Linked DNA regions of Rattus norvegicus. The protein of the gene in region 2 interacts with the protein of the main gene of each other region in a biochemical or structural test. Links are inferred from orthologs where the notes say so. Each region holds a gene or a part of one and is shown on either strand. Other genes may lie near its edges.

The links.
Region 1: the proteins of Ncl (region 2) and Adap1 form a complex in vitro, tested with the Homo sapiens proteins (2 studies listed by BioGRID). The link is inferred for Rattus norvegicus from reciprocal best matches to the Homo sapiens genes NCL and ADAP1.

The regions. Positions count from the first base shown.
Region 1 is NC_086030.1:20,486,574-20,490,218, forward strand, and holds the end of Adap1 (arf-GAP with dual PH domain-containing protein 1), read left to right. Parts: intron 1-625; coding exon 626-709; intron 710-921; coding exon 922-984; intron 985-1,517; coding exon 1,518-1,589; intron 1,590-1,763; coding exon 1,764-1,992; intron 1,993-2,207; coding exon 2,208-2,236; 3' UTR 2,237-3,388; downstream 3,389-3,645. UniProt on the Homo sapiens protein: GTPase-activating protein for the ADP ribosylation factor family. Binds phosphatidylinositol 3,4,5-trisphosphate (PtdInsP3) and inositol 1,3,4,5-tetrakisphosphate (InsP4). Regulates the incorporation of CD63 and CD9 into multivesicular bodies.
Region 2 is NC_086027.1:94,453,208-94,457,434, forward strand, and holds the start of Ncl (nucleolin), read right to left. Parts: upstream 2,877-4,227; 5' UTR 2,751-2,876; coding exon 2,733-2,750; intron 1,797-2,732; coding exon 1,680-1,796; intron 487-1,679; coding exon 1-486. UniProt on the Homo sapiens protein: Nucleolin is the major nucleolar protein of growing eukaryotic cells. It is found associated with intranucleolar chromatin and pre-ribosomal particles. It induces chromatin decondensation by binding to histone H1.

The sequences.
Region 1 (3,645 bases), on a different chromosome or scaffold from region 2:
TCTGTCCCACAACTCAGGGAGGGCAAGAGAGAGGGGAGACTAGGATGGAGAGGTTCAACCAACTTCTTCTGCAGGTGGAGGGATGGGACCAAAGAGGAAGTGGGTAGGACCAGTTGTGAGTGGGAACATGTGCGGCAGCGGTAGTGTCCTAGGCTGCAGAGGAGAAGCCCAAATAGGCCATGCCCAGGGAAGAGAGGCTGGCGACAAATGCTGGGTGTTGGCATTCAGGTGTTGGCAGTGATGTGGATTTTACCAGAAGTGCCGGGAAGACAAAAATGGACAGGTTCTGAGTGAGGCAGATGGGGGTCCCCGTGGCGAGGCAGCAAGGAGGGACCCTAGTCATAGCTCCAGGCCACTGTGGACCCCTGCCAGCACTGAGAGACCCTAGATGTGTGCAGAGAGAGAGAGCTGTGATGCGCAGAGCTCAGATGTCAAGCCCACTCAGTCCCCTGCCTCAGCCCGATCCTGGTCACCAGACTGCCCCATCTTGGCACAATGAGGGAGTAGGCGGTGGGGGTCCATCCCATCCTGCAGTGAGGCTGCTCAGAGTGCCAGCCCAGGTGAGGGGATCTGTGGAGGAGACCGAGGCTCAGGAGCCATCACTCACTGCACCTTCGGCCCTCAGGAGATCGTGGACTGGTTCAATGCGCTGCGAGCAGCCCGCTTCCACTACCTGCAGGTGGCTTTCCCAGGAGCCAGTGACGCAGATGTGAGTGGATGTCCCCAAGTCGCCCTGCTGGGTAGGGGAGTGGGGAGGTAGCCATCCGGGGTGGGTCACAGGACTGAAAAAGGGCATCAATAGACTCGCTAGAAAGGCGGCAGGGTTGACTCCTTTCTGGGGTTGGAACCCAGCTGTGCCATGCTGTGTGCAGTCCCGGGAATGACACAGGGTGGGCCTCACCACCATCTGTTCTGTCCCAGCTGGTGCCCAAGCTCTCTAGGAACTACCTGAAGGAAGGCTACATGGAGAAGACAGGGCCCAAGGTAGGTGAGAGCAATGTGCTTCTAGGCTTGTTCAAGGTCAGCCATCTTGCTTTTGCCTGTCTCGGGGTGGCTTGCGGTTAGGCTGGGTGGCTGGCTGAGGGGTTGAGGGTCACTAGGTCACTGGACTCACTGGGCACTGATAGAGTGCCAGCCCTTTCCCAGATGCATCTCAAAGTGTCCTGGGACTGCCCACTTTGTCCTATGGCCTTAAGCTTCAGGGTGGTTCTTGAGGCCTCGTCTGTGCTCTGGTGCCGGGATGAGAACCCAGGATCTAGGAGAGTGACCTGGTTGCTTGGGTCAGCCTGAGCCTCCAGCCCTCCGGCCCCTCTAAAGCGGGGACCTTCACGTTTGCTCTGCAATGTGGAAGTGGTGGATTTTAACCTGAATCTCAGGCATGGCCAGGGTTCCTCATGCACGGGTTGGCCAGAGTGGTGCCCTGTGAGCCCTTGCCCACTGGGTGTTGAGTGGTGGTCTCCTGGGGCAGAGGTTTACCTTGGGGCTGCTGACTGCTCACTATCCTTTCTGACCCATAGCAGACAGAAGGCTTTCGGAAGCGCTGGTTCACCATGGACGACCGGAGGCTCATGTACTTCAAAGACCCTCTGGTAAGGAAGGTCTGGCTATAGTCCCCTGACTGGCCTGTTTCAGGGAATAGGGCTGGGATTCCTCAAGGTCTTGGATACTAGGGCCTTACCTGGTAGGGCTCAGAGAAGAAGCAGAGAGGACAGTCAAGGGTGAGGAGGTCCCCTCCTCATGCCCCAGCCTCTTCTTGCCCACAGGATGCCTTTGCCCGAGGGGAAGTCTTCATTGGCAGCAAGGAAAGTGGTTACACGGTCCTGGAGGGCCTCCCACCGTCAACCCAGAGTCACCACTGGCCCCATGGCATCACCATTGTCACCCCTGACCGAAAATTCCTGTTCACGTGTGAGACAGAGTCAGACCAGAGGGAGTGGATAGCAGCCTTCCAGAAGGTGGTGGACAGGCCCATGCTGCCTCAGGAGTACGCAGGTGAGAGGTGCAGGTGTGGGGCAGGAGGGCGGCGGTGGGGTCACCGGTGAAGGCCCCTAGTATGGTGCAGCTCTGTGTTAGCACCCTGGCAGACAGACTCCTGCCAGGGCCCCTGGACACGCTGTGGAGGGAGGGGAGATACAGGCTGTGGGGGGGGGGGGGGCGGCGGCTGAGTGAGCTGGCAGCTCCCAAGGTTAGAAAATTCCCATTTTTAGTGGAAGCCCACTTCAAGCATAAACCCTAAGGAAGAGAGCCCGGAGGCCCCAGGATTCTGCACTCGTGTGGCGGCGCTGGACAGCAGGAGAGCCTCTGTTCCTCGGTGTGGCCCAGGCATGGCCAGGTGGGGCTCAGGCAAGCCCATCAGATAGACAGTTTTTCAGAACCTCATTAAAGTTGAAGGCAGACTTGGTTCTGGGCCTCACTTGACCCTGGCCCTGTCATGACGCTCCCAGCCACGCCCAGCCGACCCACCCATTTTCCTGCTGCTGGAGGAAGCCCTGCCTCCCAACTTGAGCAGGACCCTACTAACTCTTCTGGCCTGAGGGGATCTTGGCCTCAGGACAGGACTTGGTGCTGGGCTGCTGTGGACAGCCATGGACAGCCATGAACAGCTGTGGCAGCGGGCTGGCCTGGCTGCTGGGGACTCACTCTGGGATGTGCCGCATGCCTCCCCACTCCTCTCCCCACTTCAACAAGTATTTATTGAGCACCTGCTGTGTGTCAGTCAGGGATCAAGGGTCAGGGGTCAGCTCTCCTTCCCCTAGGGCTGACCCAGCTGGAGCATTGGGGGTCAGGTATTTTTCCAAGAGAACTGTGTGCATAGGCCCTGCACCCACCTGTTTGCCCCACCCCCCCACCCCCAGGCCCCTTGGGACAGCTGGCTGGAGCAACCAGGAGGGAGCCTAGCCTGCAGGGTGCTGTGCATGGAGCCCAGGAGCGGTTTCCTTGGGAGCCAGGGAGCGCCCCATCCCATCTGCTTTTGGGCGTCAGTGCCCAGCTCGGTGCTGTCCCCGCTTTGTAACCCATGCCCTCTGGCCCTGCCCTTACAGTCTTTGAGCCCTTGATGAATGAAAGCCCAAGCCAAGAAGTGGTCATTGGCAGGAATGGCTGCCCCCCAGCCCTGATTGCTGCTGGCAGGCCAGTAGTTAAAGCTACCTGTATTTATTTCCCCCACTGCCCTCTGGCCACCCCAACAGATGGGCTCCCTTCTATGGGATCCCCAAAGGGCAGGTCCTGGCCGCTGGACAGCTGGGGAGCATTGATGGGGGACCCATCTGTGAATGACCTGGTCCCTCCTCAAAGCTAAGCCCTAGGGACCTGGGGGGAGGGGTCCTTAGTTGGGCTTCTGCTGCCCTGTGTCATGTCGCCTGGAATAAAGTGTGGCTCTGGCGTTGTCCCTTCTGTGTGTTTGTGGCTTAAGTGGGAGGAGGGGGCTGGTAACCCCTTTGCTATGGCAGCCTCCCTTTGGGCAGTAAGGGACATGAGAAGAACCATGTCACTTCCACGGCAGGCCTGACAGAGCTGGCCTGACTCTGCAACCTGTGTCCCATAGTCCCTAGCCACCACGCTGTGTGTGTGTGTGTGTGTGTAAGGAGAACTGTGGGGTATGTGAGAAGCATTCTGTGTGTAAGGGGCACTATGGATATATGGTAG
Region 2 (4,227 bases):
CTCTTCATCATCATCATCATCATCTTCTTCATCATCATCATCTTCCTCATCCTCATCCTCTGAGGCAGGAGCAGCAGGAGCTGCTTTTGCTGGTTTCACTCCTTTTACTACCGGTGGCTCAAATTCATCCTCTTCATCTTCATCCTCATCGCTGTCATCTTCATCCTCTTCATCTTCATCCTCATCGCTGTCTTCCTTCTTGGCATTCTTACCATTCTTAGCCCCCTTGGCTGGAGTGACAGCTCCCTTTTTACCAGGAGTTGGTACCAATGCTTTTGCTTGTGCAGCTCCCTTTTTACCAGGTGTTGGAACTACTTTGGCTGGTGTAACAGCTTTCTTGGCTGGTGTGGCTGCTGCCTTTTTGCCTGGGGTAACAGCTGCTTTCTTAGCTGGTGTGGGAACTGCAGCCTTTTTTGTTTGTGAAACAACCACCTTCTTTGCTGGAGTTGTGGTAGCCTTTTTGCCTTTCTTCTGAGGGATGACAACCTTGAAAGCAAACAAATCATAAGCATTCCTCTATATCCAATGCTATGTTAAGTTACTAACACAAGATAGACATTAGATATGTTTCTAAAAAGTAAAGAACTGGAGAGATGGCTCAGAAGTTAAGAGCACTTGTTACTCTTTTTTTTTTTTTCCGGAGCTGGGGACCGAACCCAGGGCCTTGCGCTTCCTAGGTAAGCGCTCTACCACTGAGCTAAATAAATCCCCAGCCCCACTTGTTACTCTTATAACAAGTTTAACATCCACATGTAGCTGTAATACCAGTTTCAGGATATCCAAGTACATTCTATTCTAGCATGAGGGGACCAAGCATGCTTAATGCACTCACACACATAAAGATAAACATTAAACCCTTAAATAAGGATACATGGCCTTCAATGCTTAAAAAACTGGACTCTTAACTCAGCACCTGAGCTTTTCTAAGAAATTTGATTGAGCATGACCATAAAAACTGTCCTGAGATAAGGTTTCACTATGTACTCCTATTTCTGTCTCCTGTGTGCTAGATTGTCTTTAAATGAAACTTGGGAATGTCATATCTAGCAAATGGGTTATTAGCAGCTTTCTACCCATACAATGTATTTTGAACAATGATTGGAATTAAGATTCAAATAAGCTGAAGCTCAGTGATAGGGACCAGTATTGCAAAAACAAACCATGTGAGATAAAGAATACGGGGAATAATAAATTTTGCTTAGAGAACAAGAATCTAAAAAGGCTACCCTCTCCTCTAAAGTGTCCAGCTTAGTCCCTTAATATATAGAAGGGGGGGTAACCCCAAAAAACTCACATGGTACCACCTAAGCTGAGACCCTGATTCCATCTCTACCTAGATCAAAGTCTGGGTTTCTCACTAAACTTGTCATTTGTCTGGATACTGTGGCTAACACCTAATTCAGGAGAACCTATCTGAGGTTAGGCTGGTCTACAGCTTCCTGTCATAATGTCCTGCCAAAATTCACAAAGCCAAGTGACCATGGACTGAATAAAAATTAGGCTAGAATAAGCAATTTTCCCAAAAACGGAGGGAAAACCACCCCACAAATCTACAGTAAACTCTACTCAATACAACATACGAAACTCTGCCCAGACACCCCCCCGAACTGACTGTTATTTCTGACACTTCCAGTCAATCTACCACTGCAAATCACACAATTTTTCAAATAGCATCCTACCTCCTCTTCTCCACTGCTGTCATCTTCATCTTCTGACATTTCTTCATCCTCACTATCTTCTTCCACCTCCTTTGGAGGAGGAGCCATTTTCTTGGACTCTCCGTGGGTTTTGCCGGCCTACAAATGCACACAAAAAAATCACCCGCATTGTAAGCCACTTTGTCCTCGGCCACCACCTCCTTTCTTACTAAAGAACACAAGCATAAAGACTTCTCGTGGCCAGGCACGACACTCTTCCTGGCAAATTTTTCTGAGAACTGCGCATAATTTGTCTTACAGACAGAAACCTTCACCAGGAAACAGCCACAGGTTTTTAAAGTCTACTTAGTCGTGGCACTTTATTTTCTGGCACGTTCCACAAAAAAGAAAAAAACCCAGTTAAAGGTTCCATTTTAACTATTTGCCGGGGAAGGGGGTTATCTCGAAGGCACCTCTTAAAAGCATCTCTGTATCGGAGCTACTTCCTACTTTCTCACGCTTACAGCCAAACCACGTGGAGTCACCTAGCCGGTCACCACGCGCTACCTCAGGAGCCCACCACGTGTCCATCTACCCGTCACGGTCAGGGACTGCGGATCGCTAGGTAACTAGGCCAACTCTACTGTCCCCTTTCCCGGTGTACTCCCACTCCCCTCACTGCCTCGGACGCGCGACACGTGCGGAGCGCCGTAACCCACGTGGCGGGCCGCGCACCGGAGCACGTGCGCCGGGAGGCGGGGCCGAGAGCGCTAGCCGCTTAAGGTTGGCCCACTTCACTCGCCGAGCCTCCAACCCCCTCTCCGCGCTCAACTCCTCCGACTTCCCCTCACACCGACCCCCGGCCCCGGTGCACTCTACATCGCCCTCCCAGAACCTGCCTCGGCTCCTCTCATCCCTCAAGTCAGAGGCCAAACACCGCGAGACCTCCCGCTAGTCGCGCGAGACTTCCCTCAGCATGGCGCCCTCGAACGCGCCCGGGACTGTGCGCAGGCCCTCCTCCCCTCCGCGACGGGCGCGCGCGCGTCTCTCAGAAAGCAGGCCTAGTCGTCCGTGTTCGCGCGTCAGGCCTATTACCTTTGCGAGTTTCACCATGATGGCGGATTACGGCGACGGCGTGTGTAGAGAGCGAGCAGCTCAGAAGAGCTTAGCGGAACCCACGCGAAGACGACTGGATCGGCGGGTAATGAAGACTCTGGAGCACGTACAACCGCCTGCCAGCTACAGCTAGCGTCTGAGGCAAAAGACTGAGCTTGCCCAGTAATCGCCTCTGGAAAGGCGACGAAGGTGTTCTCGTGACCTCACCTCCACCAACCAGAGCTCGCGTCCGTCCCCCGAACCAACCGCGAGCCTTAACCCAGGACGGCGTGGGTCGGGCCTAAAGCGTGGGGGAGGGCGGGGCTCTTAGGGGCAGGGCCTGACGTCTGCTTTTGAGGGCGGGACTAGTTTTGGCCAAGGCGGACGTTGATTGGTCAGTGTGCTGGTCCTTTGAGTGTTCCTGAGCGCCCGCTCGCTACACGCCTGCGCAGTGAAACGCGCGAGTTTGGCGCGGCTTGAGTGAGGCGCGAGTAGGTGGCGGTATGGCCCGGATTCCCTCAGGTATCCGTACGCCGCATGGACGTCTGTGCTTAGGTGGTCTGGGCATTTCTCGGGGATTTCCCTTGCGTAGCGGAAACCTGCGCCTCCCGGTGGACTTCTCAGGGGCCTAGAACGTTCGCCGCGCTGAAGAGCTGGAGAGCGCCGGAAGGCCTAGAGTTCATTCGGGCCGTTTAGTGGGCCTTGGCCTGCCCTCGGTAGAGGTGGCGGTCCTCTTGGCTGTGGTAGCCTGATGCGAGCCACCACTTTCCTGAGAGCTCCTAATAAAAGCAATTTCGCGCGCGCGCGCGCGTGTGTGTGTGTGTGTGTGTGAGCAGTGCACAAACAGTCCATTTAATCTCTGACCTCACGCGGTAGGTATAACTCCAGGTTCAGAGAGGTGACTTCCTGGTGTGTGGTGGGAGAAGTACTCGGCCTGCCTGGGACCGCTCACGAGTTCCCTCCGTGGCAGAGGACGAGAGAGTTGTCTTGGATTGCTTTAAACGGATTGCCACTAACTGGTTCCAAGCGTAGCAAACGGGTGCCCTCATCAGCTGACAATATCGATTAAAAATTACCTGTGGAGGTGCTGGTGGGGGTTGAGATAGGGCCTCACTATTTGCTCTGGCCGTCCTAGAGCACACTGTGTAGACCAGGCTAGCCTCGACCCGCGTCGTCACGCCCGGCCCAATCTAGAAGATTTGATTGGAGTTTTTTGTTTTTTTGTTTTTTTGTTTTTTGGTTCTTTTTTCGGAGCTGGGGATCGAACCCAGGGCCTTGCGCTTGCTAGGCAAGCGCTCTACCGCTGAGCTAAATCCCCAACCCCTTGATTGGAGTTTTTGAGATAGGTTTTCTCTTTGTAGCCCTGGCTGCCCCGGGACTCATTCTAGACCAGGCTGCCTTCGAACTCGGAGATACCCCTGCCCCCTCCTTTGCCATCCTCGGGAGATTTTAACTCAAGTGGGATGTGTTGAGACCCCGGGTTTTCTATCTGAAC